Caenorhabditis elegans: one gene and its partner. The protein of the gene in region 1 interacts with the protein of each later gene in a pairwise test. Each region holds a gene or a part of one and is shown on either strand. Other genes may lie near its edges.

Region 1 (6,410 bases):
GATTCTTGTATTGTTCGAGTAAGTTTTTTTTTCCAATTGTGTATAGTTAGAACCATCTGGTTTTAATGTAAATCTTCAATATTACGGTATCAGGGGTCGACACGATCGGAAATTGATAGGTCAAAGACGCTTCGAGACCAATTACCGTATTCTTTTGTCAGAATCTATGAAATAGTCACTTCACTTTTTAATTACTACAATTAACAAATACGGTTTTTTTCTAGAATAATCACGTCTACGTTGGAGATCATCTTATCCGACCATTAACAAACTTTGAGAAACAGAAAATACAGTTAGTTAAAATGAGACGAATGTATGGAGAATCAAAAAGGAAACGTAGCAAAAGAAGCTCGAAACCATTGTAAGTTCATCCAATATTCTGCATTTTCAAATAATCTTGTTTCAGGCCTGGCACACGACCACAAAGAGATTTTAGTGAAATGCTTCACAAACTTTTGAATATTAACTCTACAGTAACTTCTCGATTCCTTCCAGTAGTTAGTCAAAGTCCTCTCTTTGCAATGGAAGGTCCGTGGCAGAATTTGTTTGAACTCGGGAAAGGTGATTTCCTTTCTTCGAGATATTTGTTATGAAAATTAAACATTTCATTATTCCAGATAAGGATATGATTGAATTATTAGCTGCTTCACAATTTAAACCCCAATTACCACCCGTTGCATCAGTTCCAGTAGCTCCAGTCATTGATATTACGAAGATTGATTCTCCGTATAGAGCCACTTTTACAACAATGAAACCAAGAAAATCACAGAAACCAGAAAAAAAGAAAGAAGTTTTCAATGTTTTCACTACTAAAACTAATCCTCAAATTACCACGACTACTATGACAACCACAACAAGAACATCCACAGGTAACATCTACAAGACAACTATTTGAAAAATTCAGTATATACAACATTTTCAAAATTGCAATTTATAATTAATAAATTAAGTTAACATCCGATTAAAGCTGTCAATTTTCAGCCATTCCAACAACTACCACAACTCCAAGACAAATATCACTTCAAACGATTCCATTTTCAACCACAACTAGACAACCAAATTTTGATAAAACCAAGACTCCTGCAACAATGCCATCAGCTTCTTCTTCTTCACTTTCAAGTATTCAAACAGTTGTTGATCCAATTATCTTGAAGTTAATTTCAAAGGCATTGGAAAAAAATGAAATGATTGATGAATATTCATTGAAACAGGCTCTATCGATGAGAAATGTTGCAACTACTACTGTAGGTTTAAATCTTTAATACATCTGAATTATCAATTATTTCAGACTCCTCTTCCACTTCGTTTCATTCTTCCAACACCTGCAGCCCCAAATCCATTTCTACCGTCTACAAGAGTTGGAGGTCTTTCTCATAATCATCTATTCATTCCCCATCAACCGTTTACTACTCTTGTTTCGACCGATTCTAGATATTCTGCACCGAACCCTCTTTCTCATCGACTTCCAAACGAGATTTGCCGAGTTCATATGAATTCAAATCCTTTCCATTTTTAGTTTTATTACTCTACCAAATAATTAAACAGACTTTTCCTATCGGGTCCCCTAATTTTCTTTCATTTTTCAGGCATCTCGGTTGTTTTTTTCAAAGTATTTTGACCTAATTTTCCATGTTGAAATTAATAAAATATTTATTAAATGAACACAAACACAGATGTTGGAATTGTCTTCTTCTGGTCAAGTACTGGATATACTCTCTTTTTTTGATAATGCTGAATTGATAAATTTTTGGTTCCAATGAAAGGATCAAACATTGTAGAAAATCTTTACAAAAATAATTGTAGACCTACTATTATAATAAATACAGTTTTATGCAGAGTCTGCGTCTCTCAATATGAACAGCCTCTCAAGCACTAGAGATGCGCCAGCACGCCGCGCGTCAGCAAACGTCTTTGGCCTCAGTTTGCCTTCAAAATAATGCATGAGTTCGGCATTTCAAATATTATTTAAGCCAAATTGTTTTTCTAAACTGCGGAAATCTAATTTTGAGAAAAGGAAATTTTAAATCCAATCGTTTTATTTTAATCTTAAAATATCTTTCTATATAAAACCGCCAACCGTCCTGTTTGTTTCTTCAGAGATACTAATAATCTAACATTTTCAACAGAACAAATTGGATGACATCTGGAGCACCACCGACTATTTCAACAGAAAAAAGTCGAAGTAAACAGCTTCGAAAATCGTCAAAGCGCACAGCCAGCACCGTTGAAGGTACAGAGGTAGTAATTAAATAATATTTTCAATGTGAGAAAAAATAAATTGCAGGCTAAGCAAATGCGCGGCGACACTGAAAATCGTTCCGACGGAGAAATGGACGATGTTTCAACAAGCAGCGAAATCAGACATGGAAATGGATTTATTGAGAATTTCAGAGTGAGTTATTAATTTATTAAAATGTTCATCGGTGGGAAGTTTTCAGAGTCAAACCGGCAATTCTTCACGCACAACCGCAACAAATGAACGCATCAAAAAGAAACTTGTGATAAAGAACTTTAAAGGTAATATTTGTAAAGTTTTCATTAGTTATTTTGATTTCCAGCGAACGCGAATCAAAATGATGTTGCGATGGGGGACACCAATATTGATAGTAAGTTTATTCTTCGATAGGTGTTATATTTTGTTTGATATCCAGGTACAGACGGATCAGTTGGTAGAGATTGGGCTGTTCTTTCGGATAATGTTTTCGCTATTCTTGAAGATAGGAAAACAGTAACCACTTTGGAAGGCTTATTCAGCGTAAGTTTTTGATTGTTTAAAACATTGTAAAAACTGAGCGTTTTCAGAAGGTCAGATCTGTGTGCGATAAAAATCAATCAAAAGTACTTTACGATCGTCTCGTTGCAATTGTTGTTCAGTTTGCAAAATCATTAAAGGAGTCGTTAAATGCGGTTGAGCAAGTTCCTCTTGCAGAAGACAATTGTGAGCAATATTTGGAAAAGTTTGGGCAGATCTGGCAAGCATATCCAGTTAAAATCGTAAGTGAAGAGTTTTATTTAAAAAAAAACAATAGATTTAACTCAGAATCTCATCAGGAATATTTTTCTTCATCTGGACCGAATTGCGCTCGGCGCTACAGACACAGAAATTCTCCCTTTGTGGGAATGTTTCATGCAAATATTTCAAAAAACATTCTTCCCGAACATTTTCAAGGAATTCAAAGCAACAAAACTGTTCAATGCTCTCTATATGGCGATGCAGAAAATTATGCAGAGGTATCCAGTGGACAGTCCTCTCAGAAGTCTTGTAGATATGCTTCAAACAGTTCATGTGTCTGAAGAATTTGCAAAATTCCTTATTAGCCAACTTCGAGAGCACTATAACAATGAGAGAATCGATAAAGTTCCAAAAATGAATGTAGGTTTTTATTTTCATTCTTTGAAAAATCTCGATTACTTATATTTATTTTAGTGCAACGATTACATGGAATACTGTGAAGACCAGATAAATCGATATTCGCAATTAGTGAAAGTGAACTTTGATGAACCGTCGGCTCTAAAAGATGTTCAGGCAACAGTGACAAACTGTCTCATTCAACAAGCAATTCCTGAAATTCTCACACATGATTTTGACGATCTTATCGATTCTGATAACATTTCGGATATCGGCCGAATGTTTAATTTGTGCCGTCAATGCGTTGGTGGAGAGGATGAAGTACGTACACAATTCTCAAAGTATTTGAAAAAACGCGGAGAGAAATTGATTGCTACGTGTCCTGATGAAGATCTTGTTTCTGAGCTACTTGCTTTCAAGAAGAAAGTTGATTTTATCAGTAAGTATTTCAAAGTTCTCTGTTATTTTTATTATTATCAAAAATTTTAAATTCCTCATACGTGGATCATTAATCATATTTCAGTGACTGGAAGCTTCAAATCCGCAAATGATCCAGTAAAAATGAGACAATGTTTGTCAGATGCCTTTGAATCTTTTGTAAATAAACAAGTCGATCGATCTGCAGAACTTATTTGTAAGTCATAATTCGAAATTTCTATATTATAATTTCTATTTTTCAGCAAAGCACTTCCACACACTTCTTCACAGTAGCAATAAAAATGTATCAGACGACACAACTCTCGATCAAATGGTAGATGAAGCTATTGTGTTGTTCCGATATCTTCGTGGAAAAGACGTTTTTGAAGCATATTATAAAAGAGGTCTTGCTAAGCGGCTTTTCCTTGAAAGAAGTGCATCTGTTGATGCTGAAAAGATGGTTTTATGCAAGTTAAAGACAGGTATTTAATACTTTTTAGTTTTCAAATTAATAACTTTTTGATTTAGAGTGTGGCTCGGCGTTCACATACAAATTGGAAGGAATGTTCAAAGATATGGATGCATCTGAAAATTATGGAAGATTATTCAACCAATATCTAGAACATATGAACAAAGAAAAAGCGAATTTCACTGCTCGAGTCATAACTCCAGAATATTGGCCAACCTATGACACATATGAAATTAATATTCCAAAAGAGATGAGAGATACACTTACCGATTATCAAGATTTTTACCGTGTTCAACATGGAAATCGGAATGTTAAATGGCATCACGGACTGGCTTCTGCGGTTATTTCTGCTTCATTCAGGCCTGGATGTAAGAAAGAATTAATTGCAACAATGTATCAAACTGTCATTCTTCTTCTTTTCAACAAATGTGAGACATGGACTGTCGCTGAAATTGTTGAGCACACTAAGATTCTGGAAATTGAAGTCGTCAAAAATGTGCTTGCACTTCTTGGTGGACGTGATAAGCCTAAGGTTTTGCAGAGAGTCGAAGGAGGTGGATCCGAAAAGGTAACTAACTTTTCATTCAACTCAACTAAAAATGTCTTTGTTTAGAAGGAAGGTACTGTGGAAAATTTGAAAAACGAGAAATTTGTTGTAAATTCTAAATTCACGGAGAAGCGCTGCCGAGTTAGGATTGCTCAGGTCAATATAAAGACAGCTGTGGAAGAGACGAAGGAAGTGAAAGAAGAAGTGAATTCTGATCGACAATACAAAATTGACGCTGCTGTTGTAAGAATTATGAAGGCTCGAAAGCAGCTAAACCATCAAACTCTAATGACGGAGTTATTGCAACAATTGAGGTAAGTTTTCAGAAAAAAAACTTTATTTTTAAATTCAAAAAATTCAATCAATTTTTTATTCGAGAAATAGTAATATCAATATAAGCCGAAAAATAAAAACTGGTTTTGAAATTTTTTATGAAAATATTGAATGTAAAATATAAATTGGCACACAACTACAAACCAAAATCAAAGGAAATGTAAAAATTGAGAACTTTTTCAATACTCTCAAAAACATAGCATTTAGTAAATTAATATGAATTTTGACATTTTGAAGCGATTTCCTTGATAAAAATTTGTCTAAATTTTGCTAAATTTGCTGCTAAGGTAAAATAAATGTTAATTATTCTAAATGAGTTTTTTTTGTTTCAGATTCCCCGTGAGCACCGCCGATATCAAGAAACGCCTGGAATCACTCATCGAACGTGAATATATATCGAGGGATCCTGAAGAGGCATCTAGCTATAATTATGTTGCGTAATACATAATATCATTTTTATTCCTTTTTCAAATTCAATCCTTATCCGTGCCACTGGTCTCTTCTCATCTCGTTTGCCCTGTTATTGAACAGTTTTCTTCCTTTATTTGTGCGAGTTTCGTCTTTTTTAGAGAAAAATGTACTAAATGTTAGTTTCTGTTTTTTCAATTATGTTTTTCTCTTCACCTAACATGTGCATCCAAAATACTGTTGAATACATGGTTATTTGATTGAATTCTTTATACGAAATTACTCGAATCGGTTGAAATATCCGTGATCTTACATTTTTTTGGTTTTTTTTTTCTTAATCAATTTTCAAAGTTTCTCGTTAAGCAGACACAAAATGGTTCGAACCTGCTCGAACTGCGGAAGTTCTGAAATTGATGAGGATGCTGCTAGAGGAGATGCTACGTGCACTGCGTGCGGAACTGTGCTCGAAGAATCCATTGTCGTAACTGAAAATCAATTTCAAGAGCGAGCTGGTGGATCAGGTCACACTCTAGTCGGTATGTGGTAGGAATGTTAAAAGTATTTACAAAATGTTATTTCAGGTCAATTTGTGTCCTCAGAGCGAGCTGCAGCTAACAATTTCAATGGAATGGGATCTCAAGAATCTCGAGAAATGACGTATGCAAAAGGCCGGAAAGTTATTGATGAGCTCGGCAGTCAGTTACGAATAAATTCACATTGTATGAACACTGCATTCAATTTTTACAAAATGTGCGTATCTCGTAACCTGACACGTGGACGTAATAGATCATCCGTTGTTGCTGTTTGCATGTATATAACTTGTCGACTAGAAAACACTGCTCATTTGTTGCTCGATTTCAGTGATGTCACTCAGGTATGACATTTCG
Region 2 (5,972 bases), on another chromosome or scaffold:
TAAACTCTGGAGATGGCCTTTGTAAGTTCCCGACGATACGATTATTCTGGTAAACTTTATATTTCAGATCCTGCCGCTGGAGCATCAGATGATTGGGCAAAGTCTCGTGGAATCAAGTACTCCTACACCATCGAGCTCTCTCCAATTGATGATTTGTAAGTTATCCGGACTATTTTCTTTTTATTTTCACCCACTTTTCAATTTCCAGCACTGGATTCTCCCTCCCAGAAGATCGGATCAATCAAGTGTGCCGAGAAGCATTCCAGGCTATTCAAGTTCTCATGATCGAGGTCAAGTCCAAGTTCGGATTCAAACAAATGACGTCATCAACTGCATCATCTGCTCAATCGACACTATTACTGAATCGCTTACGGACAATCGGAAATCGTGGATTTGGTCGTGGGAGGTAGAAGTCAAACGGAGTAGCAGGAAGAAGAGAGGAACGGGTTTTTAAAAATGACATTTTCAGTTGTTTTGTTTTAATTGTTTCTAACAAAGGGTTAAAAATAAAAATTTTAATTTACTTTTACAGATTTTCACTATTTTACCGACGATGATTAGGCTTCGGGGATAAAAACGAAAAAAAAGGAACGTATTTACAGTTTAGAACTGATGAAAATGGGGAAGGGGAGTGAAAATACTTATGACATAGCAACATGGGTTGGGAAAGAGATAAAACAATTAATTCTACACACAATTTCTACTTTTTGAAGTAGTGTAACAGATTACGACTTGTCGGTCGTTTATCCATCGGTTTTCGTGGAGTCATTGGGATGGGCTTAGGCTTTGAATTTGATGGGCACGGAGATTGGGTTGAAGATGATTTGAGAACAAGTTTACGCGGAGAGTGAAGAGCGATCCGTTCGTCTTCGGTTATAACTTTTGAGCATGCTGATTCACCGAATTCACTGACACTTGGGAGTCTGAAACTTATAATATTGAATATTTATGACAAATTTTAATAATTTTTTCACCTCGCCCTTGTCACTGTTGCCACATTTTCTCCCTTGGTTTGCCACCAGTCTTCGATTCTCTTCTGTCCAGTCTTGCTCAACGATTTTCCGGAATCTTCAATATCAGATTTTGAAGATTCTCCTATGAGTTTTTTGACGAATGTATCGTAGACAAAGTTTGGCAGACCCTCAGTTGGATGCTCGTTGTAAAATGGATTATTCTTCTTCTTTTTGTTACGGATTTGTCGGGGAGTACGGTAGCCGACAAGATCCTGGTTATTTGAATTAGTTGGTTGAAGTGGTGATGGTGGGGAGAAAGATAATCTGAAATAATTTTTTTAGATGCTTACGAAAAGTGTATACTTAAAATCGAAAAGGTGCAAGAGCGCTCCACGGCGAACTGAAAACGCTCCGCCCCAAAATGTTGGGTCTCGTTGGGAATTGACGGCAAAATCCGCCGATCTCAAGGTTTTTTTTTTGATTTTTAAAATATTTTTCGTTGCAAGCGTTTAATAATTTTTTGCCGAAATTGAAAAGATATAGTAAAATGAAAAAACCTTAAACAACGAAAATTGTAGTTTTTTTAAGACGAAAATGGTTGAAAATTGGCGAAACGAACTGAAAACGTTTGGAATTACAGTTATGCCGCCAAACACCTAACGAGACCCAGCTTGTAGGGGCGGAGCGTTTTCAATTGGCCGTGGAGCACGCTTCCACGTCGATTGCATTTTTCTGATAAATATTCCTTACTTGCTCATCTTGGCTCTCGGAGATCTATTCAATCTGAGAGGTTTTGGACTATTTGTGCAAATTGATTTTAACGGGCTTTCAAATATAGGTCTTTTCGATCCTCGATTCTTCTGTGGTGATCCACTTAGTCCGGAAGAATCAGCTCGCTGTCTGGGTGATAAGGAAATACTATCGAAACACGACATAGCTTCATCAGATTCTTTTAGCTCAAATTTCTTGATTTTTTCGTATGAAAGTCCGAGCTCCTGGGAAGTAGTCGGGTAAGAGGTATCATCTTCGTCATTCAACTTCCATGTACATCTATTCCTAGGCTCTGACCAGATTCGGACGCCTCCTTCATCACAAGACATGAAATATGTTCCACGAGAACTCCATCCGACGTTCAACACTTGCTTAAGATGACCATCGCAGGAAAATCGCGGAAGTTTCGTTCTCCGCTTGTCAATATCATCCGGAAGTTTTCGATCATTCATGTAGTTGTATTGATCCTGAAGATCCCAAACAACAGCCCGACTATCCTCACTTCCACATGCGATCACATCAGAAACCGGAGAGCAGGCGACTTGGGTATAAAAGTTGTGAATGGTGGCGCCAGTGTAGGAATTAACTGAAAGTTCAAGGTTTTTTGTGTATTGATCGAGAACATGTGTCGGCAACGTGGTTGAAGCACAAGACATGGAATGCCACAAAGTAATGCTTTTATTTGTTTGTGACTTTCTCAATTGATGAGATACCAGAAATTCTACAAAATTGGCTAGTATGGCATGTTCTTCTAGTATTTTTCATTAAATTTAGTGCTAAAATATGGCAAAAAAAATTTGAATTTTCTGATATTAGCTATAATTTTAGTCGAAAAAAATTGAAAAGTGCTCAAAACTTGTCTTGAAAATTACCGGAAAATTCGGCAAACGGCGATTTTTGAGCACTTTTTCAATTGTCCCAGCTAAAAAATAAGCTACTTTCATATGAATCAAATGATTTTTTATACTCTATCACTAAATTTTAATGAAAAAATTTGTAGATTTGCCGCGGCTAAAAAATAAATCTGATTTTCTCTTCTGAGATTTCTACCCAAATTCGATAAACCTTACTCGGTGAAACAGACTCCGATGGAACGGAGTACTCGAAAATTGAAGAATCGGTGCATGACGCAAACAGTCGATTACCAAAACGATCTAATGTCAGACAAGTCACCCCATACGATTTTTTGTTGGATGTGGGAACTTTTAGAATTCTGGCTGGCTGGCCTTCTCCGTTTCTTGTCGGTTTTCGAATATCCCAGACTCGTATTCCACTATCTGCATTTTCTGAAGCACTTGCCACGTGATGCTCATCAAGAAAAAGAACACTTGTCACTTTATAACCTTCTATCGTTTTCGCTTTTGCTTTTGATTTAGGAGTTCCTGATGTTAATACTTTTGATGGTTTTGGATGTGCAGTCTTGTATGTGATAGTTGCCATTCGACAATCTTCTTCCATCTTCTTCACTGTGGATACTCGCATATCCCAGATTTTGACTTGGAAATCACGTCCACCGGTCACAAAAACGTCTGGAATTAAATTTTTATCACGAAAAATTTTTTAAAATATCAAAAACACTTACTAGGATCATCCGGAGCGAAACAGATCGACCGTACAGATCCTTCGTGTCCAAAAAACACTTGGGACTTTCGATCCAACGTAGATTGATTTAAATCCCAACATCGAATAGTAGAATCTCCAGATATTGAAACAATTTGCGATTCCTTTTGGGGAACACCTACAACGTCCATAATTGCACCATCGTGAGCGGGAAAAACTGAAATCTTTTTGATTTTTAAATTCCTCAATCAAGGTATGCTCAGATCACAATAAAGTTGCCGTTCTTCCAAAGGCACTGATCGATCTTGAAACTTGCGAACATCGAAAATTCCTATATTTCCCGGATCATCTCCCATGTACAAAATGTGCTCTTGATTCAAGTGAGGCGAAAACCTGGCTGTTACCCAAGTGTCCTGAAATACTATTTTTATGAAATTATCAGCGTATTCCTCAGCAAAATCTTACGTGATCATCGGTTTCTCCGGCCGGCATAGAATAATGTTTTGATTCTAATTCTTCATATATTGATGATGGATATCGAAGATATCTTTTTCTAGCTTTTGTTGAATGGAGAAAATCCATATTTTATCTGAAAAAAGTGAAATTTAGTTGAGAAAATGATAAAATGGTAGAAAATACTATAAAATGGTAGAAAAAAGAAACCTTTCGAATTCACATTTTTCGCGGATCTTACGACACTCCACTATTGCGCCCGCGTGTTGTTTATCGTAAATCGACACACCTTTTACATATTCTTTCTTTGTGTATGTCTTCGTTTTTCTCTTTAAAATCTGCTGTAAAGCATTGTTTTATTTTATTAATTATGTTAATTTTCAGAAAACTAAAAAAAAAGAAAAATGAACGACGACCTGATCATGCGTAAGAAGCCAGAGCAGATCGAAATGGAATTTCAAGACAGTGGAGAGTCGGCGCTTGTAAAAGTGAGTAAATTCGTAAAATTCGGTGGCATAATTCCAATAAATTTAGAGTACATTACTCAGCAGTCTGCAAAATAGTGAATGGGAGATCGCTGTGAGGAAAGAAGTGAAGAAGTTCTTGGAGGTCAGTTTCGTTCAAACATAATCGCTTAATTCTCATTTTTCAGAAAGCCAGAGATGACGTGAGTGCCAAGGAGGTTTTCGATGCTGTCAAGGATATGGCGAGAAGGGAAATTCCACAAGAAGCAAAGAAGAAGCTCTACGATCAAGTTCTCGAATTCGTCACAACTACTAACAAGAAATGATTCGCTTTTACGAGGAAAGAAATCAACTGTGATCTCATTATATTTTGTAAAATTTCTTCAATAAAAAATTGAACGCAACATGATTCTCATCGGTGTAAATTCCAATAACAGAACGGAGAATTTGAGGAAAAACATGACATGAAATGTTTATTGTTTCTTTTTTGTAAACGAAATCTAAATAAAATAGGTTAAAGGTGCAAAAAAAGGTTAGAGGTGCAAGTATAATACTATTTACAAATTCTCGATAAAACAATGTACATAAGAGTATTCACAATACAATAAGTGAGTCTTCAATGTAGAAATGGGAGCAGTTATTTCATGATGAATCGATTGCAAGGGCGATCCTCGAGACGACGACTCTTCCCAAATCCAAAAATGCGCACACGGTCAAAAGGGCATGTTGCGCTGTAGCAACCCGCCATCTTGACAATCTGATTGATGCAGAAGTCGCACAGAGTATGTCCACAGTCTGAAAATTTGATAGAATTATTGGACTGAAATTGATAAGAGTTCAGCTTAATAATCTATAATCAAGCAAGCATTTAAATCCGTTTATTTACTCACCCATGACACGTGGAATTCTTGTGTTCTCGTCAAACTTCTGGTAGCAGACGAGGCACTCGGAATATGTAGCGAGTCGGGTCTCGCAGTCCAGAAGCTTCTTCTTCAGAACAGCCTGCTCTTTCACAGATTCATGTGTGATGCGATTGAGCTTGAACGTAAGGCGCATCACAGACACCTTCGACTTGTTCGATTCTTCTTGCAATAATCGATGAGCCTCACGACTGGCTTCAAGACTTGCCGTCTCCTTCTTCAACTTCTCATCTTTGGCCTTGAGTTCGGCTGAAGTTTTGGCCAACTTTCTCTCCGTCTCATCTAGTCTTCGTTGAAGAATTCCATCCGTCCTGCTCGACATATTTGACTGAATGCTTCCTCTGACAGACAGGCGCTGGGAATTTTTCAATGCTTGAAGATTGTTCCGCTGATCCTTAATTTCTGCTTCCATCATGCGCATCATGCCAAAAAGTGAGGTCAACTTCGCAATTGCTTCCTCGAAAGTCGATACAAGCGTGGAAGGTGGAGAGCCACTAGACGACATCTTACCTGAAAATTAGAATGAAAAGTAAAAAATCAAAACGCAGATTTGAAGATACTCGGAAAATGGAAACCATATATTTTTTCTGTGCATATATGCACAGAAAAAATAGAAAAATCGAGTGAAACAATTTCTGAAAAAGGCTGTAAACTCCAAAAAAACCAGAAATGCGCCGAAAACACTCAGAAACGCTCAAGAAACTGGAACGCATAAAAATGAAAATCCAAGTTTTGCCGCCAGCCGCAATGGGTCAAGATCAAGATCAAAACACACTTTTTGTTTTTTTTTCTCGTAGTCCTTGTTTTTTCATTGATTTGTGTTCTTTTTGATGTAAAACTGTATTTAAATC

Evidence for each region.
Region 2: the proteins of cul-4 (region 1) and cdt-2 interact in a two-hybrid assay, tested with the Caenorhabditis elegans proteins (one study listed by BioGRID).

The regions. Positions count from the first base shown.
Region 1 is NC_003280.10:7,299,975-7,306,384, forward strand, and holds cul-4 (Cullin-4), read left to right. Parts: upstream 1-2,126; 5' UTR 2,127-2,136; coding exon 2,137-2,238; intron 2,239-2,284; coding exon 2,285-2,392; intron 2,393-2,438; coding exon 2,439-2,517; intron 2,518-2,558; coding exon 2,559-2,606; intron 2,607-2,651; coding exon 2,652-2,755; intron 2,756-2,802; coding exon 2,803-2,994; intron 2,995-3,040; coding exon 3,041-3,373; intron 3,374-3,427; coding exon 3,428-3,788; intron 3,789-3,872; coding exon 3,873-3,983; intron 3,984-4,029; coding exon 4,030-4,248; intron 4,249-4,294; coding exon 4,295-4,803; intron 4,804-4,848; coding exon 4,849-5,096; intron 5,097-5,447; coding exon 5,448-5,556; 3' UTR 5,557-5,784; downstream 5,785-6,410. Other genes in the region: C30G12.1 (uncharacterized protein), read left to right, coding at 1-18, 225-361, 407-561, 618-869, 982-1,244, 1,289-1,516; brf-1 (B-related factor 1), read left to right, coding at 5,897-6,059, 6,105-6,397. UniProt on the Caenorhabditis elegans protein: Component of cullin-based E3 ubiquitin-protein ligase complexes which mediate the ubiquitination and subsequent proteasomal degradation of target proteins.
Region 2 is NC_003283.11:14,987,047-14,993,018, forward strand, and holds cdt-2 (WD_REPEATS_REGION domain-containing protein), read right to left. Parts: upstream 4,081-5,972; 5' UTR 3,948-4,080; intron 3,874-3,947; 5' UTR 3,867-3,873; coding exon 3,750-3,866; intron 3,698-3,749; coding exon 3,553-3,697; intron 3,502-3,552; coding exon 3,307-3,501; intron 3,254-3,306; coding exon 2,795-3,253; intron 2,311-2,794; coding exon 1,704-2,310; intron 1,278-1,703; coding exon 975-1,277; intron 924-974; coding exon 701-923; 3' UTR 501-700; downstream 1-500. Other genes in the region: F02D8.4 (Peptidase M14 domain-containing protein), read left to right, coding at 1-21, 68-155, 209-410; T01C3.2 (Transcription and mRNA export factor ENY2), read left to right, coding at 4,142-4,225, 4,272-4,346, 4,390-4,527; T01C3.3 (RING-type domain-containing protein), read right to left, coding at 4,839-4,996, 5,092-5,626.